Medicago truncatula: one gene and its partner. The protein of the gene in region 1 interacts with the protein of each later gene in a biochemical or structural test. Links are inferred from orthologs where the notes say so. Each region holds a gene or a part of one and is shown in the gene's direction. Other genes may lie near its edges. The genes, in order: peroxisome biogenesis protein 5 and peroxisomal membrane protein PEX14.

Region 1 (15,726 bases):
AACCAAAAATCATTTTTACTCCAAACCAAAGCCATTGGAAAGATAACTAAATTATCTACGACTTTCATTTTTACACCAAAACCCAGTTCAAAACGGAAACGTGTGAAAAAGACCGGAGAACATGGAACAGAAGATGCTGTCACTGTGCAGCTCTCGGGAAAAACCAATTTTTCACCCAAAAATCCCAATTTTGACTTCCATATGCCCAAATTTGATCCCAAAGTTTGTCTAAACATTTATATACATCAAAAGAGACTCAAAACCATATAAAACTTGACCCAAAAACATTATTTTAGAAAATCATCAATTAACCACTTTTAACCCTAATTCCCAAATTCTCAAAAACTAAAACCTACAACATGTTAAATCCAATTTCCAGAATCGATGACTTAAGATTATTGAATGTTAGTCCCACCCTTACCTTAGAATGAATGATCGGCGGCTTCTCTCTCTCTTGGTTCTCCTCTTCTCTTGTTTTCTCCCGTTTTCTCCAAAAAGCAATTTCACGTAAAAAAAGTTTCTAAACATAGTTTTCTTCTTATATCTCTCCTCATTTTATTTTTCTTATTTCCTCTATTTTCACTAAACTCCTCTAAATTCCAAAACAGCTCCACATCTCAATATTTATTTTATTTTCAAATCTTATTCTATTAAATACTAAAATAAGCCACTTAATAAATCACATAATCATTTAAATATATTCTAAACTCATTAAAAATAATCGAATAAAACAAATAATTCAAAGAGGGCGTTACAACTCTACCCCCTTAAAAGAATTTCGTCCTCGAAATTCAAAACACACAAGAAAAGAATTCAATCATTGCCTAAATATCTTAAACTATATATAGCCAAATAGAAACTTCAAACAAAACATATAAACCACATTAAAGTTAGTCAATCAAACATGATCACATAATAAACATATCTATCAATTAGAAACACAACAACAACCAATCAAACAGCATAAAGACATTAATACCAATGTTACTCGACACAACTCTACTCAACTACTTGGCTGGACGGACCGACCTGCTCTGATACCAATTGTAACACCCCGTTTTCCCAATATGAAAATTTCTAAACATTTATCAGAGTAAACAACATAAACGGGATATCACATTCTTTTCTTAAAATCATAAACTGAATAAATAACTATTTATCCTTTAAAATTCAATAACAAAATCTTAAATACTTTGCAGCGGAATTTCTTCAATAACTAAAAACAATCTTTGCCACTAAGGTCTCTTTATAAATGTCTCATAAAAATCCAATCTAAAAACATAGTCATGAATCTTCAAAAACAATACGTAAGGAATATAAAAGTAATAACAAAGTTCCCATCCCGTTACGTATCAGAGCACCTAAAGACACACATGAGAGCTAATCCACTCACAACAGCAACTGAAACTCGATCACCTGCAAGTTACTCATACGAAGAGCAACATTTCCAAGCAGAAGGGGTGAGATTTCACAAAACAATAATATTAAGCATATAATTCAACAATTATATTTAATCAACATCAAATCATCTTAATATTCATTATAGATAGTACTATATCATTTAGCACTTCAATCATAGTTTGTATAAACAATTACAACTTCACAACTTATCAACTTAAACATCCTTGACTCGACAAATGTGACTCCAACTCGATTATGCAACTTAGACCTCTTATATGCATGTGGTACCAATACGGAGCATCAAGCCCCTATCGCTATTTGAGTATTATTATACTTCCAGAGCATCAAGCCCCAATCGCTATTTGAGTATTATTATACTTCCGGAGCATCAAGCCCCAATCGCTATTTGAGTATTATTATACTTCCGGAGCATCAAGCCCCTATCGCTGAAATGCTAATGCATGGACTCGACTTCTTAATCTTATATAATCCAATAATTTGGACTTCATCATCTTAATCAACTTGGACCGACTCATGCAGCTTAGTTAAATAACAACAGCGACACAACAGTATACAAAAACAGCATGACATAATAATATCAAATGCAAGTCAACAACGTCTCAATTATTCACATATAATTCAAGTAATGCATATATAATTATATCACAATATAAACAACATCAAATGGTAATCAACATCTTAAAACATCATATATACATATAACACTTCATTAATCATGGACAATATCGTATTCACAAACATATACATACATATACTAATTCATCAATCATAATCAATTATTCACTGTGACCTACGTTCAGTAATTTAACTATAACGCAAGTTCTATAAATTATTTTGACGTCAGACCAACGGCATTAGAAAGCTAACATACATACCTACAACTTTCTTGTTTACACCTAAGACTAATTATGCACCAATCAATACCAGTTTTCATTTCAAACTCGGACAAAGTTGTGCTGAAATTCGTGAAAATTCACTAAGACCTCCTTGGAGTAATTTCATCATAACTCCTAAACCAAAAATCATTTTTACTCCAAACCAAAGCCATTGGAAAGATAACTAAATTATCTACGACTTTCATTTTTACACCAAAACCCAGTTCAAAACGGAAACGTGTGAAAAAGACCGGAGAACATGGAACAGAAGATGCTGTCACTGTGCAGCTCTCGGGAAAAACCAATTTTTCACCCAAAAATCCCAATTTTGACTTCCATATGCCCAAATTTGATCCCAAAGTTTGTCTAAACATTTATATACATCAAAAGAGACTCAAAACCATATGAAACTTGACCCAAAAACATTATTTTAGAAAATCATCAATTAACCACTTTTAACCCTAATTCCCAAATTCTCAAAAACTAAAACCTACAACATGTTAAATCCAATTTCCAGAATCGATGACTTAAGATTATTGAATGTTAGTCCCACCCTTACCTTAGAATGAATGATCGGCGGCTTCTCTCTCTCTTGGTTCTCCTCTTCTCTTGTTTTCTCCCGTTTTCTCCAAAAAGCAATTTCACGTAAAAAAAGTTTCTAAACATAGTTTTCTTCTTATATCTCTCCTCATTTTATTTTTCTTATTTCCTCTATTTTCACTAAACTCCTCTAAATTCCAAAACAGCTCCACATCTCAATATTTATTTTATTTTCAAATCTTATTCTATTAAATACTAAAATAAGCCACTTAATAAATCACATAATCATTTAAATATATTCTAAACTCATTAAAAATAATCGAATAAAACAAATAATTCAAAGAGGGCGTTACAACTCTACCCCCCTTAAAAGAATTTCGTCCTCGAAATTCAAAACACACAAGAAAAGAATTCAATCATTGCCTAAATATCTTAAACTATATATAGCCAAATAGAAACTTCAAACAAAACATATAAACCACATTAAAGTTAGTCAATCAAACATGATCACATAATAAACATATCTATCAATTAGAAACACAACAACAACCAATCAAACAGCATAAAGACATTAATACCAATGTTAATCGACACAACTCTACTCAACTACTTGGCTGGACGGACCGACCTGCTCTGATACCAATTGTAACACCCCGTTTTCCCAATATGAAAATTTCTAAACATTTATCAGAGTAAACAACATAAACGGGATATCACATTCTTTTCTTAAAATCATAAACTGAATAAATAACTATTTATCCTTTAAAATTCAATAACAAAATCTTAAATACTTTGCAGCGGAATTTCTTCAATAACTAAAAACAATCTTTGCCACTAAGGTCTCTTTATAAATGTCTCATAAAAATCCAATCTAAAAACATAGTCATGAATCTTCAAAAACAATACGTAAGGAATATAAAAGTAATAACAAAGTTCCCATCCCGTTACGTATCAGAGCACCTAAAGACACACATGAGAGCTAATCCACTCACAACAGCAACTGAAACTCGATCACCTGCAAGTTACTCATACGAAGAGCAACATTTCCAAGCAGAAGGGGTGAGATTTCACAAAACAATAATATTAAGCATATAATTCAACAATTATATTTAATCAACATCAAATCATCTTAATATTCATTATAGATAGTACTATATCATTTAGCACTTCAATCATAGTTTGTATAAACAATTACAACTTCACAACTTATCAACTTAAACATCCTTGACTCGACAAATGTGACTCCAACTCGATTATGCAACTTAGACCTCTTATATGCATGTGGTACCAATACGGAGCATCAAGCCCCTATCGCTATTTGAGTATTATTATACTTCCAGAGCATCAAGCCCCAATCGCTATTTGAGTATTATTATACTTCCGGAGCATCAAGCCCCAATCGCTATTTGAGTATTATTATACTTCCGGAGCATCAAGCCCCTATCGCTGAAATGCTAATGCATGGACTCGACTTCTTAATCTTATATAATCCAATAATTTGGACTTCATCATCTTAATCAACTTGGACCGACTCATGCAGCTTAGTTAAATAACAACAGCGACACAACAGTATACAAAAACAGCATGACATAATAATATCAAATGCAAGTCAACAACGTCTCAATTATTCACATATAATTCAAGTAATGCATATATAATTATATCACAATATAAACAACATCAAATGGTAATCAACATCTTAAAACATCATATATACATATAACACTTCATTAATCATGGACAATATCGTATTCACAAACATATACATACATATACTAATTCATCAATCATAATCAATTATTCACTGTGACCTACGTTCAGTAATTTAACTATAACGCAAGTTCTATAAATTATTTTGACGTCAGACCAACGGCATTAGAAAGCTAACATACATACCTACAACTTTCTTGTTTACACCTAAGACTAATTATGTACCAATCAATACCAGTTTTCATTTCAAACTCGGACAAAGTTGTGCTGAAATTCGTGAAAATTCACTAAGACCTCCTTGGAGTAATTTCATCATAACTCCTAAACCAAAAATCATTTTTACTCCAAACCAAAGCCATTGGAAAGATAACTAAATTATCTACGACTTTCATTTTTACACCAAAACCCAGTTCAAAATGGAAACGTGTGAAAAAGACCGGAGAACATGGAACAGAAGATGCTGTCACTGTGCAGCTCTCGGGAAAAACCAATTTTTCACCCAAAAATCCCAATTTTGACTTCCATATGCCCAAATTTGATCCCAAAGTTTGTCTAAACATTTATATACATCAAAAGAGACTCAAAACCATATAAAACTTGACCCAAAAACATTATTTTAGAAAATCATCAATTAACCACTTTTAACCCTAATTCCCAAATTCTCAAAAACTAAAACCTACAACATGTTAAATCCAATTTCCAGAATCGATGACTTAAGATTATTGAATGTTAGTCCCACCCTTACCTTAGAATGAATGATCGGCGGCTTCTCTCTCTCTTGGTTCTCCTCTTCTCTTGTTTTCTCCCGTTTTCTCCAAAAAGCAATTTCACGTAAAAAAAGTTTCTAAACATAGTTTTCTTCTTATATCTCTCCTCATTTTATTTTTCTTATTTCCTCTATTTTCACTAAACTCCTCTAAATTCCAAAACAGCTCCACATCTCAATATTTATTTTATTTTCAAATCTTATTCTATTAAATACTAAAATAAGCCACTTAATAAATCACATAATCATTTAAATATATTCTAAACTCATTAAAAATAATCGAATAAAACAAATAATTCAAAGAGGGCGTTACACATGGTCCTGCACCAAACAAATAAAATAAAAACTTTTTTAAAGTGTAGCCGCGGAGATTACCTTTGTGCTCTTCCATATAACATCAAAATCATTTTCCTCTCTATATTCATTGTTCATCGTGACATGTTTAACGAGTGTATTGAATTTTTAGTTATGTTAAGTGTTGATCGATTTTGCTCTTTCTAAGTGAGTATGAGAAAATCTTTCATGGGCACAATCACAAATCAATATTCTTAGGTACACACATGAAATGTAAAAAAATTCAAGAAAAAGTATTTAGTCATTTTTTTTAGACAAAAAGGAAAAATATATTAAAAAAAAAAAGGCGTATAAAGAGATTGGGGGGACATTAAACCTGACTCAGGTACAATCCAAACCAAAATACATTGTTATAAATCAAATCTACCCAAATCAATCATAACAAACAAACATTTGTTTCAAACGCAATCTGGCGAACCCGCGTACAAGCGCGAAACCAAATTTACAAAAAAAAAAAAAAAGGAAAAGAGTGACATATGCACAGAGAAATTAGGGTTCAAAGTGGCGAATGGATCGGCCGCCAACACGAAATCCGGATCCACGTACCAACTCCCTGATCTTGTCAGCAAGTATGAAGCTCTTTCAAACATAACAGTATGACATGACTTAAACAAACCAGTAACAGAGGGGAGGCACATCTGACACCTTGAGACCTGCAGATCTCAACATATCTGAAGCATCAAAGAATCAAATAGAGCAGGAACCAAACACAACCAGTCACCTTAAACACGTATTGAACCAAGAAATGGGTCAACGCGTTCTTCGCTAACCATACCCTTTCGGGTTAAAAGAACCAACATACCCTTTCGAGTTTACGAAACCAACCACAAGTCAGAATCGAAACCACCCCAATCTCTGATAAAAAATAGACAAAAAAGCTTGAAAAACAACGAAATAAAACAATAGGTGATGAAGAGATGAAACAAAACAGCTGCGATCGAACAATAGAAACACAACCCTTCTGAATCAGTGTAGGCAAGTTGCGATACAACCCACGAACACAAACCCAAATAGAATGACGACTTCAAGACGATCCGACAACCCACTAACACCACCAGCGACCCAACAAGACATCACCAAAGCGGCGAGAGCGAGAAACTCTTGTGGAACAAAACAATTCGTGATGGCGTTGGTGACCAAAACCCCATTAGTGGGTTTGGTGGTGGAAGCCATACAAGCCAAGCAACCACCACCACGTTCCAGGTCTACATACTATTGAAGAAAGTTTGGTAAGGGAAGAGAGAATCACAAATGTAGTTATCCCAGTTCATTCTCTGAACTATAGCTACTTTATGCCCTCTCGCATTCTGAGAGATTTTTCACTATAATCAACAAATTACAAAAACCTGTTATAGCAAGCTCGTCTTAAATTTCATGGTCTCAACTTAAAGGACTTCCTAACACTTCCTAACTTCAAACAAGAGGATTACAAATAAACTTGTGTTTGCACAAACTATAACAACAGTAAACATTTGAGCTTAGTACACTTGAGAGTGTATATCTCTGTATTTATTTTCTTATTTTCCAGACAATGTATATGATAATAATATAGAATGATTCACAATATTGTATATGGGTGTTGTGTAACGTTTCTTCAGCCAAATCAAATCCATTACATGGAAGACGTGAGATGATAACCATTGCTGAAGAGATTTTGTCTTTAGTTTACTGAGTAATTGTTGTGATATTCTCATTAAGAGTAGTTAGTGAATCAAACATTCATTTCAATCATTGATGCACTTTAATGATTTTTCCTGAGTTACATAAGTCAGGAACTAAGTTTCCTTTAAGAGCAAAGAGTTGTTGTATCAGTGACATGTCTTTAGCTAACACTTGATAAAGCGGCTTTGACCACAAAGCATTGACCTGCATTCCACATAACTTGACCTTTAACTTGATACAAAAGTCTCGTCTTTATCTATGACACATAACTTTTCATCAAGGTCTAGAGTTTAGAACAATCCATAGGAAAATCATCATTTTCTTAGAACTTCCTACACATTTAAATACACATAATGTATCTAATTATTCTCATATGCTTTGTTTTCATCAAATCTTGGTCTAACATATTTGAGACTCGTGATTTGAACTTGTTCTAACCGCGTGTCTGGTTTAACAAGCTCATACAACACAAGAATTCAAAATAATTACAACCATAGAGTGGAAGTTCAATAGCGCGTCACGAACAAATCCGATAGAAAGTTGCTCGGCAGCGAGTTCATAGAATAATAAGATTTATAATCAGTTCGTCTATAAAAGGATTGTGAAATTCCTATTTACGACTACGATTTAAATTAGAATTAAGTAACAAAGGAGGGGGTTGCACTTGACAATGGTTGAGGATTTGAACTCTAACTAATTTAATATTTTGCTAGACAAACAAAATAAAAATTGCTATTATAAACTCACAGAAATGAACGAAAGGGTTAGGAAATTTGAACTTTAACTTTTATATGTATAATGTAATGACTTTTTTTTTATCGAGGGAAGAATGTATAATGTAATGTCTTCATTATCTTTCATATTTTTTATTTTTTATTTTTTTTTGGTTCAAGCATAGTTTGGTATTATTATTTGATTGTTTACTGGGGTTTGTTGTTGGTATTCAACAACTCTATTCAACATATTATTTGCGTAACAGATTCTTTAGAAGTTCTCTGTCTTCTTTACGATCCAAATCACTCTCATATACATGTATACGTCTCTTTGTGGATGAATATTTTTGGGTTAAACGAGCATATTTCTAACATTTTTTTAACATGATTCGAGAGGGCAACCACTGCGCAATTCTTTTTACCAAGCTCAGGCGCTCCTCAAGATTAGATGTGACTTTTTGGCACGTTGTCCCACAAGAGTTGAGGCTTGATGTCCCATAGAGTCTTGTTCTTGGTTTTTTTTTTTTTCATTTTTTCTTTTGGTATTCTGCCAAAAAAAAAATATTGTTTATATAAAATTGTGAGAAAAAAGAAAAGGAAAAAAAGATGAGAGACAAGCATTATTATAGCGCACAGACAGCAAAGAGGTTAGATAGATAGATAGAGAGATAACAAATACCAAAATAAAAAACACACACAAACACACGGACGGTGAGAGACAAGACGTAGTAGCAGCACCCAGCTGCTGCAAAAAAAGGGCTTTGACGAGTGATAGAGAATCAAAACTATCATTCATCAATCCATTTCAATTCTTCTATTTTGATTCGAATAATCATAATAATATAAATATAAAATATAAAGTTAGTTAGTTGAATATATACTATGGCGATGCGTGATCTTATCACAGGTGCTACTTCTTGTCCTGACCCTTCTGCTTCTTCTTCCTCTCAAAACCCTCTCGGTTCTCTTGCTAATGCTCTCCTCGGTTCTTCCTCAAAAAATCAGGTACTCTCTCTTTCATATTCAATTCAATTCAATTCAATTCAATTCAATTCTATTCAATTCATAACTAACTGAATTGTTTAATTTAATTATATTATTATAGGAGAGGTTGAAGGAAATTCCTACATCAACATCCACTCCTTCTGCATCGCAATTTTACTCTCAACCTCATACCCAGCTACCTGGTTCCGAATTCGATAAACCTTTTCTCGATGCTAATTCTCAGGTCAGGATTAAAACAATTAATTAATTATGATGTGTATTTATTCGATCACGGTGTAAAACTATTTGAAATTATGCTTATGTTTATATTTATGTTTTCATGGACTTGTATCTAATTTAAATGCAAAAATTAATTTTTTATATCAAGTATGTCATCCTTTGGCTCTTACGAGTATTTTTGAAATGTGTGTTAGTTGTAGAAGATAAAAAAGTATGAGAGCTAGAGATAAACATTTATAGTGTTTGTATTTTGATGTTCCAATAACACAGCTCAAATCGAATGTATGAATTAATTTGGTTGGTTTATTTATTTTAAATTTATTCATTTTTGTAGCGGTGCAGGGTTTGGAATTATTCCTTCTGCTTAAATGTTTATCTTTTTGTGTATGTATTGGTTTACTTACACTCCCTCTGTTTTGAAATGAGCGTTGTTTAAGATTTTTACACAAATTAAGAAATGCAATGAAGGTGTACGAATACACAATACTTTTACTAAACTCACTTTAGTAACTATTGATATGTTTCCTATTGTCAAAAACGCAAATTGGATTACAATGTTTTGAATTTTAAGAGTAGTGTACGTAGTATGAATTTGGAATAGTGTATGGTTTGGATTTCAAAATCAGGCTTTATGCTTATGTTTATGTGTGTGTTGGTTGACTTGTATCTATATTGACTGGATGAATTTGGTTTGTTTAGTTATTTGAATTTCAATATGAATTTTGGATGGTGTAGGGTTCAGAGTTTTTGAATAGGTTTAGGTCTGCGGGTGCGGGTGGGTTTGATGAAACGTGGGATGAGATACAAGGTGATGGAAATCAACTCCGGCTCTATGATGGTAGGGGACAGCTACCACCACAGCTTCATCAACCCACACTGGATGGTAATTTCAAAGTTCATTTCCTCTTTGGATTGTCTTGTTTTGTGTTTTAAGGATGTGTTTGAGTAAAGAAGTCCATTAAGTGCTTTTTATCCCAAAAGTGAGGTTGCATAAGTTGTTCTTTTTGTTCAACTGGGATTGAGGAGAAACTGTATATGTTATTTCTATAAGCTATTTTGAGGAGCTTATATATTATAATGAAATGCCTATGTTGTAATATAAGCTTAAATAAGCTCTTACAGTTGATGGGCATATTATTTGATGCTTTGAGATGGTTAACATAAAAAAAGAGACACAAATTGATGTTGTTTTCTTTCCAATATGTCAGGGACACCGCAAAGAGTTCTATCTACCTTTTTGCACTCATTTCTTGACAGCAGTCGCGGTGGAATACCTTTTCATCCTGCCCCTCTTCCAGTATTGGGTTTATCTGAAGGCGATAAACAATGTATACGTGACCGTAGCAGCATAATGGCTAGGCATCTCTTTGCAGATAAAAGTGAAGAATTTATCCATGCTCAAGTAAGGAAATTCACGGATACCTTCATCTAGTTTCCGCTTACTTTTTTTCCGATTATTAAATTAATTATCTGCATACACACATAATGCTCTGAAGACTGAACTTTTCTTTGAGGGCAAAAGTGAGTATTGATTATGTATCTCTAGACTTATCACATGTATTACTTTTTAGGTAAATGCTCTTCTGTCCTCTCTAGATATTGACAGCAATGTCCGTGGCAAGGGCCCTATGCCTGAAAGACATAGGGAGCTTGAAGATTATTGGAACGAGTCTCAAGGAAACCTGATACAGGGTGCTCATGCTTCAGACGGATGGATTACCGAATTCAGTCAAAATAGGGAAAGATATGATAATCCCGATGCATGGGCCAACTCATTTGAGCAACAGCATGGTGCAAATGGTTGGGCTTCTGAATTTGAACATGTGAGAAGTCTTCACTGTTCTATTTGTAGCTATAATTTTAATTCTCTCGGTCACATATATCTGCACTCAAGCATAATATTGAATCTATCAATAACATGCAATTCAAACCCTTTATCTTTGTTGAGGAAACTTGTTATGTTGAACTGACTAAGAAAGCAAACATTGTAGAGTTACTCTTGTATTTCGCGGTGAAATCTGCACAAACTCTAAATTCGAAATAACGTTAGTCATGTAATACCTATTTCTAGTCAGTCTATTAAATCTTCTGAATAAGTACATCTTATATTTATTCGGTTGAAATTGCTTCCTTTGTATGGTCTCCATTTATTAGCAATTTTAAATTTTAGGGTTTCCTAGCCTAAAATGTTGCTTCCACCACTGTATGGCTATTCCTTTTAGTTTCAGTTTCACAATCAATTATTTCCCTTTCTTCAGCAATAGCTTTCTTCCAAAATAATTCTTCATATTATTTCTTCCTTGGTCTTGATGTTCGCGTCCATCTCTTGTGCCCTCCCAGCATACACATCAAAAGAAAGAGCTGTGTGATGAACAGCTCCAGAATATATCTAGCAGAGTTGTAGTTTAATTTCTTTTCTGTTTGAGATTATTATAATTTCAATCAGAATGTTGAAAATGGGTGGGATCGAAGTAAAATATAGCCGGTAACAGAAAGAAAAAAAAAATGGTGTTTATGCGGGCAGCCATGCGTGTGTGTCCACATAATATGTCTTCGATGCAATGCCTTCTTTTTTCATCGGTCTTGATGCTGGTATCTGTAGGCTAGTTTTATATTGGCATTTTTAAATATTTTCTATTCATTGATTTCTCAATGTTACACCTACATTATTTTTATTCCACTTTATATTATATTGTTGATTTTTTTTCTTCTTCTTGGTTACATCTTTCAGTCTCAATTGTCATCAGTAGATCAAATGCGAGGTATGAACATGTCCAACATTGCTGCTATGGAGCAGACTCGTATGCTTGCAAATACATTGGCCCAGAATGCTGACCCTAAATTTCAGGTTCATCCATTGCTCTTGACTGTTCAATTTATACTTCACAACATATTGCAATCCAGTACTTTATTATTTATGACATTAAAGATAGAAAGTTCAGTAATATTTTTCTTTACCTTCTTGTTAAATTAATTTTCTCTTTTCATTGTGAATAATTGAATATTGTTGATAGATATTGAATTTGTCAAATTTTCCTTATTGTATGATAAAGCTGGCAATTTTAAGGCACATGACTATTATGTTCATTTACCTGAATCAACAATCTCTCGTTTATAAGATTCAATCATCTAGCTTAGGTTAGCACAACAAGAGTAACTTGTCAACAAACATCAATTATCCCTCATTTATCGCACCAGGGAAGTTTATTCCAGTAATATGCTGCTATTTACTGTTTTGTTCTGGAGTGTAATGCTCGAGTTTTGTGACAGTATCTTAGTCGTCTCAAATTCTTTTGATAGAGAACGGTATTCTTGGCCTCCTTGAGTGTAAAAGCTAAAGGTGTCTGCCAGGAGATGTCTTGACTTGATATTTTGCATCATTCTTTTTCTTATTTTTTATTTTTTGTGCTTTGGCTGGTTTAGGAGTATGTTGTTTTTTCCCTAATAAAACAGCTGAGTTATTACAAAATTTATGGCGATGAAAAGGGAGATTACAAGAGTGAGGAAAAATCTCTATGCTTGTTTACTGTTTATGTTGTTGTTTTTCGGGGTTTTTTGTTGATGTATAAATATCATGGAGGGAATAACAACCTTTATGTTGATGAGCCTATTTTTATTGTGCTTTATTATTGTGTCCTTGCCATACAAAACATCTTATCCTCTTGTGGCTTTTCTTTCCTCTTTTATGAAACCTGAAATACAAAATTTCAATAACATGTTCTTTTGGTATGCAGAACTCGAAGTTCCTTCAATTTGTATCAAAGATGAGCCGTGGTGAGTTGATTATCGATGACAATCAAGTTAAAGAGTCTGCATTACCCGCACCTGGAGATTGGGCAACAGAATACCAGCAGCAGTATAATCATGGTGATGCATGGGCTGGTGAATTCTTAAATAATAAGGCATGTCCAATAAGCAGGAAACAACATTCATTTGCAAGCTTTTTATCGAGTATTGATCGGCTTATATTCAGTTAAAAAATACTAATATTTATCAGGATGTTTTTCTTGTTTGCTGAATGTGTATGAGACAAAAATAGGAAGAGGCATTTCCTTTAAAATATAAATGCTTTTACCCCACCTTATCTTCAAAAATGTTATCCAAGTTTTGTGTTGAGTTCTTGAGGAGTCCTATCTATATGGGAAACAGGTGTTAGTATGGGTTCTATCACTTTGATTTCCAAGAATATTATTTCTCTTTTTTTCTTCGGGATGTTAAACATTATAGACTTACCATTGTTATTACTTGTGCGTGCCTACATCATTGTGAACAAGTTATTGTGTTATCTTTTGAATTCAGTACTTCATTAAAGTTGAGAGTTGAGTCTTGGTGCAACAGTAGGATTAACTAATTGACAAGTCCTTTTTCTCTAATTTTGGACACTGATTTGTGGATTGAAGGCTTATCCTAGAGCGGGACCTGAACTGTGGGCGAATGAATTTGCAACAGAAAGACAACAAAATGGAGCAGCTGATGACCAGTGGGTTGATGAATTCTCGAAGTTGCATGTTAATGACTGGGCTGAGGAATTCGGTCAGCAGATTGGTGAAGGAGCCTTTGGGGAAGGCTCTTCGGATAATTGGGCTCAGGCATATGATGAGTAAGTCAAACTTTTTCATTAATTGAATTTCAATATTTTTTCACCCTTACATAAAGATTTATTTACTGCATTTATCAAAGAAAAACAACTTTTCTTTCAAGTAATTATTGAATAACCCTGGACTACACCATTATGCGGACTTCCATGAATAGAATTGGAAGTTGCGAAGAGATTGGAAATCTGTTTTAGGCTGATCTATTTAGAATTCTATATTAATTAAATGTTTTAGTCTGATTTCTACCTTTCCCCTTGAAGATAGATATTTCTTATCATTCTTGATTCCCTTTTTCCTAGTTATTTTTAGTTCAAAGATACCAGTTTCTCCTTTTCGAAAGGTGAAATTACTTGCAGAAACTCAACATTCATTGATTATCAATGTAAATCACTATGATAGACACCTTGCATTGATCGGATGTATATTCCATTTGTAATTAATTAACCTATAACCTATATCACGTAATGTATTATAATAATAGAAGTAATTCATAAAAAAATATAAGATATTGCTACTATATTGTAACACTACATATTTGGGTTGTGCCCACTTACGTTCCCCTTAAACTTGAAAGTGTTTAATGCCAGCATGGAGGTTATTCCCTTGAATTAATCAGAATCTCTTTTGGGGTTATGTGAAGGTTCTTGAATGAGCAAGTTGCTGCCAAGCAGCGGTCAGATAGTTCAAGGGGTGTGTATGTGTTTTCAGATTTAAATCCTTATGTTGGTCATCCAAATCCACTAAAAGAAGGCCAAGATCTGTTCAGGAAAGGGCTTTTAAGTGAAGCAGTTCTAGCACTAGAAGCCGAAGTCTTGAAAAACCCTGAAAATTCCGAAGGATGGAGACTACTCGGAATAGCACATGCAGAAAATGACGATGATCAACAGGTTAGGTTATGCTTTCTTGTTGATAAACTCTCCTATTTGTGTAGACTGTTATAACATTTGTTTTTTACTAACCACTACAAATAATACATTAACATGGCGCTGTACAGATTTTCTACAGAATTACCAATTTTTTATCAATTTATTTGTATTTATGTTTCAACTGCCTATAGCAGAACAGTGTTTCTGTCCAACTAAATATGCTATTCTATTTTGCTTCTTTATATAGTATGATGTAATTTTTCAACGTATGCGGTAATCATTTCATCCTGTGAATTTTATAAATTTGACATAAAATGGTTTCAGTTAGTTTATATTTGTTGACCATTTCATATTTACAAAAATAATATTAAATGGGTATTTCCATAGAGTATACTGTATAGCATCATATTGTTAATTCTTTGTTGTTTTTGTAGTAAATCATTTTGCTTTCTTTCTCTACCTCGCCCTTTTTTACAGGAATGTTTATTGTTAATTATACAGTTTAGTCAACCACATTCTTCTTAGTTATACTACGATTGATCTATCACTTTGTATTTTACATGCTTCTTTATGCAGTAACTTATAGCTTTTGTAAAAACTTTTCAAACCTACACAGGCGATTGCAGCGATGATGCGTGCACAAGAGGCTGATCCAACAAACTTGGAGGTGCTTCTTGCTCTTGGTGTCAGTCATACAAATGGTCAGTGACTGACTGCTTCTGATATCTCAATAAATGATATCTTGTACAATAGAAAATTAATGTAAATTCAAAGGCTGCTTTGTCATACCATGCTTTGACGCTTGAATTGATTTTGTGTTCAATTCTTCTAATTTTTTAAGTTTTTATTCAATAGAAATTGTAGGGCTTGGACTTTGGAGAGATCTTTTGAGAAACTAAAATATTTATATTTACTTAACTTCCTATTATTCATGCTTAGGATTCTAATAGTCCATTTTGTTGTTGTCTTCTATTTTAGTGAATTTATTATTGTAAGCAT
Region 2 (15,730 bases), on another chromosome or scaffold:
TAAGGCGCCAGATTTAGGCTCTGGTCCGAAAGGGCGTGGGTTCAAATCCCACAGCCGTCATTCTTTTTTAACTTAAAACCATTTTTCTGTTTTATATATATATTGCCAATTACCAACGTTGAGGCGAGTGCTTGCTTGGCATTTTCCAGTGCTTGGTTAAACTTGTGTTTTGATAAATCAAAATATTTTTTCATTAAAAACACTAATTTTAGAGCTTTTTATAATTAACTATCATCAAATCGGACATTGAGAGGGGAAGAGTTTTTTGGGTTTATTTTTTTAATAAAACAATAATACTCTTCTCGTTTGGAAAATCCAAAAACTGTATTTGAAGAGAATTATAGAATGTTTATATGAATTCTTTAAATTTAATATTTATTGTTATAATATTTTTAAAATTAAAAATATGTTATTCATAAGTATTAATTTATTTATTTATTTTTTTTTTTTGGTACAAGAGAGGGCCGAAGCCCAAAGTATTAATTTATTACTCTCTACAAAATTGCTCTTTCAAAAAATATGAAGTATTTTTTCATTTTTCTTTATATTTCACACCATCCAAAATCCTTCCGTTCAAACTCCAAAACCTAAGAGCGTGTTTATTTCAAAGATTCTAGTGTTATATATGAGATTTGGAATCCAACTTGTTTTAAGTTTTAAAAAATTATGTATATATAACTTTTATTCCTAGAAATGTTTTTTACACGTGATTTTCAAATTTCTATTTCTATGCTCAAAGAAGGAATTTAACATTTCCACCGGAACAAAGCTCAACTAACCATAACTTTTCACTACCAGTCACATTTATTGGTATTTTTATTTTTTAAATCAAATACCATTTTAAAAACATTCTAAGGAAATAAAAAAAATTACCAAATATATGAGTTGGAATATTATTTATGGAAATTTTATTCTTATAAATATCATTTTGGGGAATATAATTTCAAACCTTAAAACAAACAACCGTAACTGTAACGTCGACGTTGATGAGGACGAAGTCGGAGAGTGATACTGATCGTCGGTGCACAAGACATGGCAAATGAGCGGCTCCTTTTAGGCAAACCGAATCCACTTTGAAATGAGAGGGTTCCTGAAGCCGTGCAGGTATGAGACTATTTGGTCGAAGGAAAGCTTACAAGAATTGTTTGGTACTACATATACCAACAAGATGCATCTTCTTTTTGGTAGTTATTTCATAAGAAATCCACAATTAAACGTGCTTGACTTTGAGCAATTTTGGGATAGGCAACCTTCTGAAAAGTATCTCGAACGTGTTACATGCAGAGATTCAAGTCCTCTTAATTGGCATTGAGTTGTGTTGGCAAGCGGGTTTTAAAAAACTTATTTGTTATTCTGAATCCCTTCATATGGTCAAGTTGGTAGAACATATCGATATCACAATAATGTTAATATGGTGGAGACTATCAAAGATTACATAAAAAATGATTGGATTTTGTTTTGAAAAATACTCTTCGTGAAAGGAATGCTTGTGTGGATATTCTTGCATAGTTGGGAGCTAACTATGTGGACTCTTTGATTTATTGTTAATGAATTTTTCCTAGTTTGTCTTGGACGCTTCTAGCGGACAGTGTCCTTTTTTAAGACTTAGTTTTAGTTCTTTTTTTTTTCTTCTCTCTCATGTAACCAAAAAAGAAGGGTTTATATTTATTTAATAAATAAATTGAAATATGGGAATGCCATGTGGCATTGGGAGTTAGAGGAAGGGGGAAAATGACAAAGCAGAGGATCACAGACCGTTGCAGGTTGCGCGCAGTTAGTTGGTTTGTGAAGAAGTTCCATTCCAACTCTGCAAAACCAAAAATCCTTTTATTTTTATATAACTTTTCTTTAATATGTTTTGATTTCAATCCTTCTTCTTGTTTTACATTTCCTTCTGGTTTTTATCTCCGCTTCATATTTCTCTCTTGGTTTGGTGCTCATTGTTGTTAAGGTATTTCTTCTCATATATTTATTTTCTTTCAATCCATTGTCTTCTATTCATGCATCCAATCCCAATATCAGAAAATGGCAATTTGGAACATATATTTAATGATTTTCTTATCTTTCGTCTATTTATTTTTGTTAAATCATTGGTTATGCATGTGTTTTTTAATTAATCATGAACAACTTGTTCATATTGTTCATTGTCAAAAAAAGTTATTGTAACATGCAATTCTAACTTAATTCAATGATTTAAACCCTTGCATGCATTTGTCTTATAACATGTGTTTTTTTATTATTCCTAAATGATTTTGGGGGGTTTTGTTTTGTAGATTCTTAACCATGATTTATTTTTGTAGGTTCTTTGATTCCTAGGAAATCAAAGATGCCAAGTGTTGTTCCAATTGAAGGAAATAAAATGAATGAACTTGAGAACCCTTCACCCTCTAAGAACATCTATAATAAAATCAATTCACCAAGAATACCATCGAGCCCACAAACACCTAGAAGTGTTGAGAGGTTTCATGAAATTGTACATGATGCAAGACGTTCGCGTCGAACACGCTCAAGTCAAAGCTTTGGATCTGATAGTGATTGGTCTTTAACTGATTCAGAATTTAGCCATATTAGTGGAGAACAAATGAGGAAGTTGGAGATAGTGAAAGAGGAAATGGTGAAAAAGGTAGTCAGGGACTCTAGCAGTGAAACACCATCAATATCAAGAGCTAAGGGAAAAAATCCTCCTGCAAAACCTCCTGTTGAAAGGAAGAATGGAAACAATCCTTTGAGAAAACAAAGTACAACAGTTACTAATCGTGCGGTAAAACCTAAGATTGCTTCTATTGGAAGATCAAGGTCACAAAGTCGAGTCGACGATTCTAAGGAATCAACATTTGATAATCCTGAGCTTGGACCATTTTTACTAAAGAAAGCAAGGGATTTGATTTCGTTAGGAGAGAACCCGAGGAAAGCTCTCGAGTTATCACTTCAAGCGACGAAATTGTTTGAGAAATCTGCGAATGGGAAACCGAGTTTGGATCTGGTTATGTGTTTACATGTTACTGCAGCAATATATTGCAGTTTGGGTCATTATAATGAGGCAATTCCAATTTTAGAGCGATCAATCGAAATTCCTGCCGTTGAGGAAGGCAAGCAACATGCTATTGCGAAATTCGCCAGTCACATGCAACTTGGAGACACTTATGCTATGCTAGGCCAACTTGAGAATTCAATTATGTGTTACAACAATGGGTTGGAAGTACAAAGAAAGGTTTTGGGAGTAACTGATCCAAGAGTTGGTGAAACTTGTAGATACATAGCAGAAGCTAATTTTCAAGCATTGCAATTTGATGAGGCTGAGAGGCTGTGTCAAATTGCTCTTGATATTCATAGAGAAAATGGTTCACCCTCTTCTCTTGAAGAGGTGGCGGATAGAAGATTGATAGGTCTTATATGTGAAACTAATGGAAATCATGAAGCAGCATTGGAGCACCTTGTTTTAGCAAGCATGGCAATGGTATCAAATGGCCAAGAAGTGGAAGTGGCGTCTGTTGATTGCAGCATTGGAGACACATTCCTATCATTGGCTCGATACGATGAGGCCATCTTGGCATATAAAAAGGCGTTAGCGGTTTTCAAGACTCACAAAGGAGGGAATCATCCTTCGGTTGGATCGGTCTTAGTACGTTTGGCTGAGTTGTATAATAGGACATGGAAGGTAAGGGAATCAAAATCATATTGTGAAAATGCACTTAAAATCTATGAAAATCCCATGCCTGGTGTCCCTTCTGAGGAGATTGCTAGTGGTTTTGTGAATGTTGCAGCTATTTATGAGTCAATGAATGAGCTTGAACAAGCACTCGAGTTACTGCACAAGGCATTAGAGATACATAATGATGCCCCTGGCCAACAGAACACAATTGCAGGAATTGAAGCTCAAATGGGGGTCATATACTATGTGTTGGGAAACCAGACTGAATCTTACAATGCTTTCAAGAATGCCGTCTCAAAGCTTCGCGCCACAGGAGAGAAAAAATCGGCTTTCTTTGGTTTTGTTCTTAATCAAATGGGTCTTTGTTGTGTGCAACTTAACGCCTTGAGTGAGGCTGTCAAATTATTCGAAGAAGCGAAGATTGTTTTGGAACAAGAGTATGGTCCTTGTCACCCTGAAACTCTTGGCGTATATAGCAATCTTGCTGGCACATATGATGCAATTGGCAGGTATACATTTTATAGTTTGTGACTGTCTTCATGATATTGAGGCATTATCCAAAGCAAGCTGTAGCTATTTGTGATGTTGTATATATATTTGACTAGATCTAATAATCAAGTAGGACCACTAATGTTGAAAATTAGTATAATGTCTATTATTTGAATAAACCAACCCACGCTATATGGTATGGTATGTAGTTTCTTGCTTCATGGTTTTTGAGACTTTTAGGTTAGATATGACCAAATAAGAAATGATTATGTGAAAGTTATTTTGTTCATGTACTATGATATTCTATTTCAGGGTGGACGATGCAATTGATATTATAGAGTACATTGTAGTTGTGAGGGAGGAAAAACTTGGGACAGCACACTTTGATGTTGTTGATGAGAAGAGAAGGTTGGATGAGTTGTTGAAGGAAACAGGCAGAGTTCGGAAGAGAAAAACCAAGTCACTTGAGATTCTTCTTGATGTTAATGAGGACTAATGATGAAACACTGTGAATGTGCTTTAATGTAGTTCTAGAAAAGCTAGGTAATAAGCATAATTGATTAAGAACTGGTCATTGTGGTAGTTTTATGGGGCTGAAATTCAATGATTCGAGCTTAATGATTTATTTGTACTAAATTATGCTACCTTATTTGTAGATACAATGTAATTAATCGGATTCTTCTTTTTTCAGATTAATTATAATAAGATTTTGATATGTTTTGATCAGTTTTTTTTTTTTTTTTTAAATATTTAACAAGATTGATTTGCTAACTTATAGAATCATATGATCTCCATCTATTTTTGTAAGCAACTCTTCCGTGAATGTAAAATGATATGTATGAAAAATGGTTAGTGAAGCATCATAGCAAGATATCTAATCTTCAACATTCACGTAAAAATAAAAAATAAAAAAATAAAAAAACATTCACGTCTTATTAAATTAAATTATGACACGGCATGATACTTAAAAAGGAAAAGACACAACAACTAATAATATTTAATTTAACAACTGTCATCCACAAATAATAATCAATATATAAGATGTGCTCGGAAAATTTAGCTCAGTTGGTAGGTACAATGCATAGTATATGTAAGATTCGTGGTTCAAACCCCGATCACCACAAAAAAAAATTGATTGAATGATTTTTTTTTCTATTCGAAGAAGTTTAGCTATAAAATTTACACACTTAATATTAAGTTCTATTCGAAGAAGTTTAACGGCAAAATTCACACACTTAATATTAATATTAAGAATTGAATTGCGAGTTTGAATCTACATCTCATCATATCTAATGTATTGGAGTTGAGTTGTACTTATAAGATCTAAAATTTTATTAGTATGTTATGATATTCAATCAAATATTAACAAACATCAATGTTTGAAACTTACGTTATCACATTATGTTTAATTTTAATGGAGAAATTTTTTGGTTACAAGGGTAAAAGAAACGAAAAGCAAAGAAAACAGAAAACGAAAAAGAAAAAAAGAACTGAGGCTAGAGCCCTAGGGAAGAGAGTTCCCAAGCATCATCTTTAGTCAGTTGAATCATCCCATCAGGAGGTGAGACATGAATCGTCAACACATAGTCAGAAGCCGCTCCCAACTTTGCAAGAAAATCTGCGCAGTAATTTCCCTCACGAAGAGTGTGAAAAACAGAAGCCTTGCTGGTAATAACGAGGTACTTTATGTCGGCTAACAGAGTGACATAGACATGAAAGGGACATTGATAAGGCTAACAGAGTGGAGAGAGTCGAAGTAGCACACAAAATCAGATATTCCCATATCTGAAACCATTCGCAGACCTTGAAAGATGGCATGGAGTTCGGCCAAAAGAATGTCAGACGCGTTGGCAATGTTCCCGGAAAAACCAGAGATAAATAATCTCGCACTGTTCCTAAGGGGGCCACCGAATCCGGTATGTTGAGGGTTTCCAAGACAACTCCCGTCAACATTGAGAATATAATAAGAGTGGATGTCGCAATTCCATTTTACCACGGTGTCCGTGGCCTGAGAAAGAGAGTTATGCAGGAAGGATGCGGTTAACATCAATAGAGTTCTGAATATTGAATGCAAGTTGATTAAGAGACCACTCCTCATTGTTGAGACGCATTAAATTGCGGTGACGCCAAGCCCACCAAACCCATGCTGTGAAGGTAAAAGATTGAGTACCTGTGAGGCCATTTTTTAACTAAACATGGGTGCTTGTTTCCGCAAAGAAAGCATCCGAATTGAAACCAAAGTGGCACCAAATCCTGGAGGAGTGAGGACAGTCACGAATACAATGAAGAAAGGACTCATCCTGCTGGTTGCAACAGGTACACATAGCTGATTGGGCAATGTTTCTATGCGATAATAGAGATAGAGTAGGAGTGGCATCATGACAAGCCAGCCAAACAAGAAATTTATATTTTTCCAGGAGGTGCAAATTCCAAATCCAGGTCCAAGATTGATGAGGGTTGGCACTGGTGTCGGCAACTGGGTGGGAGAGGAGCCAATCGTAGCCGCTTTTAGCAGTATAAACTCCATTTTTGTTGTGAAACCAAACAAAAGTGTCATCTATGACATCGTTGAAAGTGACATCCGTATTGTTGATGTTGTTAGCAATCTCAGTTGGAAGAGAGGTGTAAAGAATGTTGGTGTGAGGTGCGGGACAGGTAAGGACATCCTTGACGGTGAGGTGGAGGTCATGAATGTCGACATAAGGGACGATGTTGGCTAGGTAACCTGTGGAGGTCCAATTAGTGAACCAAAAGGAGGAGGCACCGCTGCCATGTCTCCAAGCATAGCCGGCGGAAAGCAAGTTTTTTGTACGAACAATGGCTGCCCAGGTGGGGGAGCAACTCGGATGATCAGTGGCGAGGAGCAAGTGTGGGGCTGCTGAATATTTGTGTGTAAGAAATTGGACCCATAGCTTGGTGGAGTGCTGAACCATGTCCCAAACCAATTTACCAAGGAGACAAATATTCATTCTTCTAGATGAGCGGATACCCAAGCCTCCCATGATTTTTGGCTTAGCTATTTTATCCCAACCAACCAAATGAATGCCTTTGTTGTTAGAATCTCTCCATATGAAATTACGTGTTGTTTGATCAATGCTATCGCAGATGCTTTGGGGGAGCCAATTAATCTGCATGTAATACGAAGGGATAAATGATAAAACAGAAGAAGCTAAGGCTAATCTACCCGGTTTGTTGAGAAGCTTGTTCTTCCTAGAGGCTAATCTAGTTTGCATTTTCTCAATGGATGGGTCAAAATGGCTGGTGTGGAAGGCCGGGTGAACAAGGTTGAAGACGTCATCTCCAACAATGTGCCAATACTATTTAAAGAAGATACATTGAAACCCATCCGGACCAGAGGCTTTGTAGGATTTCATGGAGTGAAGGGCGGCTGTCACTTCTTTCTTGGTTATGGGGCTAGTAAGTGTGTTTCTGTCGGCATCCTCAAAGGTGGGGTGGCTGCCTCATTGAAGACATGGTTATGATGATGATGGTGATTCCCACATAAAAGATTTTTGAAATATTTTAATGAAGAAGCTTGGGTATTTAAAAAGAAAATCAAGGAAAAAATGAATAATAAAATAACTAGTTAAAGTTGACTAGACATAAAAATAAAAAAATAAAAAATAAATAAAAAACACACACACACACACAAAAACACAAAAAAAGATGTGGAATGGAATAGATAGATCATAAAAGAGATGAGAGAAACATAATAGTTTGGCATGTTTCGAACAAACTGATATACTTGGAGGAGTGCAAATAAAACCCAAACTCTCTTTCTCTTTGTTTTATTCAATTCAACAAAATCCACTCACTCGCTTCACTGTCATCCCAACCGCTAAGGAAGGATTGAGTAGCTTCATTCATGGCAACCCAATCACCATCACCATCACCATCACCACCACCACCTCTTCCATCTCCCACCGCCACCGATGAAAATCAAGGTTTCAATTTCTATCTCCTTTTTTATTCATTTCACCTCTCTTATTATCATCGATCGCACTAGAATCCGTAATTGCACCACTAGTATCTTATCGATTCTACTTTTCACTTTCAATAACACTTTTTTGCTTTTTTCTTTCTTTTTTTTAATACGAAATTCTTGTACATGATTATCGATTTATCTCAGTGCTGCACTTTTTGTTTAATTGGGGAAGAGGGAGATTTTTATTAATCAAATTGACACTAATACCGTCTCCGAGGGATTTGAAGTTTGAACTAAGTATCTGAGCTTATACGGCTAAGTTCTTACCACTGAGTTAACACCTCAGGTGTCTGGTGATTGACCATCAACACCATGGCAATCTCATATTGTTTCTCGGTTTCTCGGTTTCTCCGATTCTTGAAGTTTCCCTTAAACTGTGGTTTGGGATCATTAAAGAAAATTTTAATTTTGACTTTCCAAACATTTCAATTTTTGGTCTCGACAATTTATTATTTTGAAGAAGCGTCTCGGCAATTTATGGTTTCAATTTCCAAACAGAATATTAGGGAAAGCATACTTTCTCTTGGAGTCTGTCCCTAACTTTTAGTTTGGAAGGATCATATGACTTGGTAATCTAGTAATCAGTTTTTGGGAAATGTAGAATATTGTGGTTGTGATATTTATGTGACTTCTAATCTGTTTTTGGTAATTTTTCTACAACTTGCATAATTTTGATGCTGTCTTGATTTCTTTAGCTTAGTCAACAACATTGATCTTCATTTCAATTGGATATGTTCATGTCCGCTATTCTTTATATCGTTTCAATTGGATAATTTCAATGTGCCTCCTTTAAATTGATCTCCTATAGCCCCATTTATTTAAGGGAAATGCTAGTTAAGAAGTTTAAAATGGGAACTTTACCTTGGAAATTGTGCATTCAACACATTGAAAGAACAAAAAGTAACTTTTTCAACATAAAATTCATGAATCATTTCTAGTTTTGAATCCTTAACAGGGCAATTGTTAGCATGACCCTTTATTTAAAGTTATAGGTTATTTATTCATGATATTTTATATTCTGACTTTATGTAATTTAGTTAGTTTTTGCAAATAGACTCTAATTCATTTTGAGTTATCTAGAAAATAATTCATTGGAATTTATCTGTAAACGACAAGCCCCACTGATAACAGCAAATTTAGGCTAGTAATTATGTTTATTATTTTGGAGTTTGGCTGATAAATGGGTTAATATGGTAATGATATTTACACATACATTATTCTCACAGGCCCTTTACGAAACCTAAGGTGGATTCGTTTATTTAGACCGATCATAACAAAACTTGCAATGGGACAAAGTATAGGTGTCTGAGGAATTTAAATATACTTCCATGTTATTCTAATCCAAGGAAAACAAGGAAGCTACAACTTTATTTATATTGTACAATCTTTTATGGAGGATTTTGATTGCCACTTTCTAAGACTTTTTTAACCTATACAAATACAAGGATTACATGGAAAAGAGAAAACCACAAGACCATCAAGAGAAATGAGAAAATGTATTTCAAATGATACTCTGATGATTAATTTTAATGCCAAACCTCGACAACTTTATTGTTAGTTATATACTTAATCAATAGCATGACAAGACTAATACCATTTACTAGGGTGAACTGCTGGTAATGACTAAATGAAGCAACAGACATGTAATGATAAATTATATTTCTCAACAGATTCCTTATTTTTCTTATACCAAAGATTATGTTGCTGTCATCATTTTACTGTACCGTTGTTGAATTTTCCCTTCATGGATTGATAGAATTTGCTAGCAGAATGTTACAGATAAGTTGCCAGATATATTGTTTTGGTTATAATAACATTGATTTGCTGACTCTCTTTTTTGAGATTTAGGTGCTGATATTATCCAACCGTCAAACATGGATCAGCAAAATGCCGGAGATGAGTCTGTTAAACCCATTTCATCTACATCAGTCTTTGTGAACTCAGAACCATTGCGGGAAGAACAAGTTCAGAATGCTGTGAAATTTCTATCACACCCAAAAGTTAAAGGTTCGCCCGTCATGTACAGGCGGTCATTTTTGGAGAAGAAGGGTCTTACGAAGGAGGAGATTGATGAAGCCTTTCGGCGTGTGCCTGTAAGCCAGTGCTTTTTTATTGTAAACTAATTATCTTTCAGTCAGTTTCCCGTATGTTCATCTTTTTAATCCTTACCTTGATTAAATATCACAGGATTCAGCTCCAACTGTGCAGACATCTGGTGTAACTCAAGGTGAAACATTTAAATGTTGTACTTTTCCTTCGGGTTGAGTCAGATTGCTCGTGAAATATATATTGGATTAGTTTCGAATAAACTAGATGTGTTCTTGCTTCAGTTACATTTTGAACATGGCTATTATAATGCTAACAGATGGTCAATTGAAGTCACCATCAAACGTTCAGCAACAAGCCCAACAGCAAACTTTGCAGCCAGTTTTACCTGCTTCTACTGGTGTTAATACTTCATCTGGAGCCTTATCACGAACCAGATTTCACTGGTCCCATGCCCTTATGCTAGTTGGATTCCTGACTGCTTCAGGTGCTGGAACAGTTTTAATAATTAAGGTATTACCACCAACTGTTATGCATGATGCCGTCTAAATCAGTATCTTAATGGCTGAGTGCTATTTTCATTTTTTTTCTTCCTTTCTTGTACTTGATATCTTGTTAAATGTACAAGTTTTATCACATTTTTTTTTATCCTTCTGAACTTTAAGCATACTTCATGTTTTAGAAATCACTTCTTCCTCGGTTAAAATCATGGATACGCAAGGTTGTCTTAGACGAAGATGATGAACAATCAAAGAAAACTGACAACAAACCAACTTTGGTTGAAGAAGCCGCTCAAGCTGCTAAATCAGCAGCAGCCGCAGCTGCAGATGTGGCAAAAGCAAGCCAAGAAATGTTGGCTTCAAAGGGTGAAGGTGGGTTTTATGGAACTTTAATTTGCATTGTATAAAATGTCTTCGTTTTGTTTTGATACCTCTACTCTTGCTGAGCATCTTTTATTCTGAGAAATTACTGTAATTATTGGCTCATTGTCATTGCAACATCTGATTTATGCTTTGCAGAAAGGAAATACTTTGTGGAAGTTGTGGGTCTTTTAGATAAGCAAGTACAAGAAATGAAGTTAATGACAAATGCAATAAGAAGATTGGAAGGTAATGGGGCATTACCATTTAATATATTGGGCTGACCTGAAAAGTTTCCAATGCTTTGAATATTTTATTTTGGTTTTCATTTATGACTTGCCAATAGAGCTCGTGTATTTGTTAATAAAGCATGTGGCTGTGTAATTGGGGAACTTGTTATGTATAACCCCTTAAGAGTACAACATGGTGGTTCATGCTGACCAAGAGCTTTGACAAGTTTTATCTATGTTTTTAATATTGTAAATCGATTTCTGGCTTTATGACTGTATCAGGAAAGCCATTTATTCCCTTGAATTTGATTTCATAAAACTGTTTTAGGCTTCCTGATAAATTTTGGTGGCATCATGTCACAAATTATTGTGTATATATGCTGGAATTGTTTACCAGTTATTTAGAATTTTGAAGTTATTGTTGAATATCTGTTTCTACCAAATTATGGAACAAAATGTACCTTCTTATGATATCTGTCTCAGGGCAAGAAGATCTCCGAGTCAGTCAAACAAGTTTGAAGGTCAGATATAAATAGAACTCTGGGGACTGTCTCGTTCTCTTTTATGAAAAATTTTGCACACCTTTTCTGATCCTGATTTGAGTTGTCTATTGTTTAACTTTTGCCGGCATATTTTATTTTAAATACATGCAGCAACTGGTTGCGAATGGCAAGGCGGACTATGACTTGCGTTCAGGTTGTAATATTGATTATTAGATCTTAACTAAATTAGTCTTATTCTGAATTATGTTACCGATCATTAGAATGTTGTATGCAGTGAGATCATTATCCCCACCTGCACCTGTTGAACCATCAGGTCCTCCTCATCCGAAGTCATATATGGAGGTAGTATTTTATATTGCATATTTGCATGTGTAGTTAATTGTTTTTCACCTAGTTGCCTTGCTTTGCCTTGCCTTTTACTTCTGATTCATATCTAAATGTTTGCCATTTCAGCATTGTCTTCATGTCTTGTAGATCACTTCTATTATAATAATCAAAATATAACATTTAGACATTAATTGCTTTGGGATACGACTATGGATTATAACTTTCTGTTATTTATGTTGTATTTCTTAGTTTTGCTTCTGAAAATACCCAAGTCAGGGTGGGCTAAATTGGAAATTTTTAACTGGATGAAATGAAACAGTGATTTAAATCTATTGTGATATTTTTTGTTTGTTTGTTTGTTTGTTGGTGCTGGTTAATGGTTATTACAATCTTGAGTATCGGTTGCATAATTAATGTCCAATTAACTCACCTGTTAGCTGATTGAAGTATTTAAGAGTATTTGCTTCAAATGCCATTCTCCTTATTGTCTCTTTTAATTAATAAATACACTGGTTTGATCCTTCATGAGAATGCTCCCTTCAATTCATGGTACTGAACCTTTTCTTCTGATTTTATTGTTATTTATTTTTGTTTTCTTGGATATTTCATTTTTCTTCGAGTTGTACATTTTCTTTTCTGTCTCTAATTTAATTTCTCGAAACTATCAACCAAATCCTTTTCAAAGACATCATATTTATAACCATGATTAAGATTAGCTATTCTTGTTTGGATTGCAATCAAACTATCTAAGGGTCTGCTTCTCCCTGCAACACAAGTTGAGTGAAGCCTCAAAATTAGTATTTCCTTTGTTTTCTATAAACCATCAGCCAGCTTTCCCAATCTCTGCTTTGGTATAAGGGATCTAATATTGCCATTTATACACTGATTCTAGTAGTACGGTGAAAACATCAATCAAAGCCTTGATCTGCTAGGTAGAGTTGATTATATTGATCAAACAACGCCACAATATCTATTCATATATCATATACAAATATTATTCTTGACATGGACTGAGCATTAATTCTGGTGGGAATATAATAAATTTTTCCGAATAGTTGAATCCATTCTCCCCTGTGGTCTGAATTATAGAAGGCATTATATTGCTTTGCCCATTAAGCAGCAAGCTGATATGTCCCTGATCCAAGTTTTTTTCTAGGAGGGAGAAAGATGGCATGCATTCAAACGGGATGAATGTAAAGACTGGTTGGTTGCATGTGTTTTAAAGAAGGGATAAAGTTGAAGGTTGTAGAGGGACTGTCACTACCTTCATTGCAGATGAAAAAACCAATGTGAAGTTTTTAACAGTTAGGACTTTGTAGCTGGTGTTATGAAATTGAGGAGGGAGTGATTGTGGTATCACCCCTAGAAAGTGTGGACTAAATTGTTAAAGGGAAGATAGGGGGTGAGAAGAGTTAGGCAATAATTGAATTCTCTAGGCATCACAATTCACAGATCCCCAATTTTTATCTTTTATTTATTTATTTTTCTGAATTTTCCTGAGAATTCTGTAATTACACATATCTTCCTGAGTTGAGGAACTAATCTCCAATACGTATGTATATCTTTAATTTAATAATGAATTCTGCAGTAATTAATGAATGTACATTTTCTTCGTATTTGATAGGACAGTGTTATTCATCTTCCGGAATGCTTGTAATATTATGTTTGACTTTTACAATTATCTTTTGCAGATAATGGCCATGGTCCAAAGAGGGGAGAAGCCTTCTAATATCAGAGTAAGCCTTTTAATCTGGATAAAACTTAATTGCATGTTAAAATCATAAACCTGATTTGTGCAGCATTGATATAAAATTATAAGATTGATTAGGAAAAAAAGTAATTAAAGTTTGATATGTTAGGAAAGGTGTCACTGTGAGGTAAAAGATTATGGTTTAAAACTAAAATTGCTCTTCTCTAATAGGTTTACCAATTTTATGTGGCTTGTTACTTTTGTAATACTCTGTGTTTTAATGCAGGAGATCAATGATTTACCCCCCAACCCTAGTCAACAGCCGTCAGATCCTCGCATATTGCCTAGATCCAAGGTTTATTACAAATTTGCCTTTTCTAATTACTTTAGTTTTATGAAGTTTTTTATTTAACCAAGTTAAATACGTCTTTTTTAAAATTTTGTTTTAGTTCATCTTTGAGGATTTTCTGTTAATATAACTCATGCAATGATTCTTTTTTTAAACTTTGATTTGGTTCATCTTTGAGGATTTTCTATTAATATAACTCGTGCAATGGTTCCTAGAAATTTCTGGTTCTGATTGCTGACCATCAATGTGAAAAGTATAATTATACAACTTGTAAAATTCTGGTTCTATTCTAACAAGTATCGGCAAACACATCTATTGAAACATTAATTAGAAACATGAATCTGATTGTGTGTCTCAACTTCTCTTGGGCAGCCATGGGAGATTGGGCAGGTTCAAAACACGTCTAGCCAAGTGTTTCAGCCTCAAGCAAATGGTGAAGAATCGTATATCAAGGTCCAAGATACCACTCAATCAAATGGGGATGACCCAACTCCCTGGTGGCAGAAGAAAAATGTCAGAATCAGAGAGATTGATGAAATTGAGTATAATGGAGCACCAAATGGTTCTGCATCCAGTCAGCAGCCCCTACAACGTGTGTGGGTTCCTCCTCAACCTCCACCGATAGCTATGGCGGGAGCTGCAGAAGCAATCAGGCGCCCAAAACAGGCTGTCCAAAAGGAACAGGCGTCAGATAACCAGTCAGTAGTTCAATCTTCAGACATCTCTAATGGGGAGCATGAGATCCCAAAACCGTCGGAATCTGAAGGTGCTGTAGAGGGAAGCAATGTCGGCTCTGGTGAGATACAAGTCTTACAAGAAGACCATGAAACAACATATGAATAGAAATTAAGGTGAAACATGAAGTTGGAAATAGAGCTTGAAGTAGTCCCAAATTCTGGATAAACTGGACACAGTATGTTTCATAAACTGGATATCAATACAAGATGCATAAGTGGGTGTCTTTTTCATGAAAGAATATGGTACTAGCAGAAGTATGCGCTATTATAGGTTTTATGATGTATGTCATATTTTTATAGTTACCGGCTAGCAGCTGCAAAATACCCTTATGGAATGCGATTATTATTTTTATCATATATTATCATATTTATAAAAAAAATACTTTCTTGGGTCAAAATATTTAAAAATCTTTAGAATATTACGCACATCAAAATCAACAATTAGGTGACTGAAATGCCAACTAACTGGTGTATGCATCAAGTGCAAAATTAACTAAGATATTTTATAATGTGGCATCAAGGATAATGTATTAAACTTAACTAAGATAAAAAAGGGCAAAATTATACGATTCGTCTCTTAACTTAATTTTGAATAACATTTTCGTCTTTTATCTTTTTTGTTCTGATTTAGTCTTTATGTTATAAAATGACAATATCTTATATTTTAGCTTTTTTCAATGAAATCTGATTTTCTAGGCAAGTATTATGAAGATTTAGGTCTCTTTGAGTTTGATGAATTTTTTTGAGTTTTGATTATTTTTTGGACATTTTATAACATAAAGGATTAAATTGGGACAAAAAAAATAAACGATGAAAGTGTTATCTAAATTTAAGTTAAGGGACAAATTGTGTAATTTTTCCA

What was found.
Region 2: the proteins of peroxisome biogenesis protein 5 (region 1) and peroxisomal membrane protein PEX14 form a complex in vitro, tested with the Arabidopsis thaliana proteins (2 studies listed by BioGRID, with this or other methods). The link is inferred for Medicago truncatula from reciprocal best matches to the Arabidopsis thaliana genes PEX5 and PEX14.

The regions. Positions count from the first base shown.
Region 1 is NC_053044.1:1,903,855-1,919,580, reverse strand, and holds the start of peroxisome biogenesis protein 5, read left to right. Parts: upstream 1-8,924; coding exon 8,925-9,047; intron 9,048-9,147; coding exon 9,148-9,270; intron 9,271-10,001; coding exon 10,002-10,149; intron 10,150-10,474; coding exon 10,475-10,668; intron 10,669-10,837; coding exon 10,838-11,089; intron 11,090-11,997; coding exon 11,998-12,114; intron 12,115-13,000; coding exon 13,001-13,168; intron 13,169-13,666; coding exon 13,667-13,866; intron 13,867-14,501; coding exon 14,502-14,748; intron 14,749-15,343; coding exon 15,344-15,428; intron 15,429-15,726. UniProt on the Arabidopsis thaliana protein: Receptor that mediates peroxisomal import of proteins containing a C-terminal PTS1-type tripeptide peroxisomal targeting signal (SKL-type).
Region 2 is NC_053045.1:51,887,073-51,902,802, reverse strand, and holds peroxisomal membrane protein PEX14, read left to right. Parts: upstream 1-7,844; 5' UTR 7,845-8,006; coding exon 8,007-8,085; intron 8,086-9,974; coding exon 9,975-10,219; intron 10,220-10,313; coding exon 10,314-10,353; intron 10,354-10,491; coding exon 10,492-10,685; intron 10,686-10,854; coding exon 10,855-11,044; intron 11,045-11,191; coding exon 11,192-11,281; intron 11,282-11,745; coding exon 11,746-11,783; intron 11,784-11,915; coding exon 11,916-11,958; intron 11,959-12,039; coding exon 12,040-12,107; intron 12,108-13,783; coding exon 13,784-13,828; intron 13,829-14,068; coding exon 14,069-14,137; intron 14,138-14,503; coding exon 14,504-14,974; 3' UTR 14,975-15,231; downstream 15,232-15,730. Other genes in the region: protein KINESIN LIGHT CHAIN-RELATED 3, read left to right, coding at 2,327-4,161, 4,454-4,637. UniProt on the Arabidopsis thaliana protein: Component of the PEX13-PEX14 docking complex, a translocon channel that specifically mediates the import of peroxisomal cargo proteins bound to PEX5 receptor.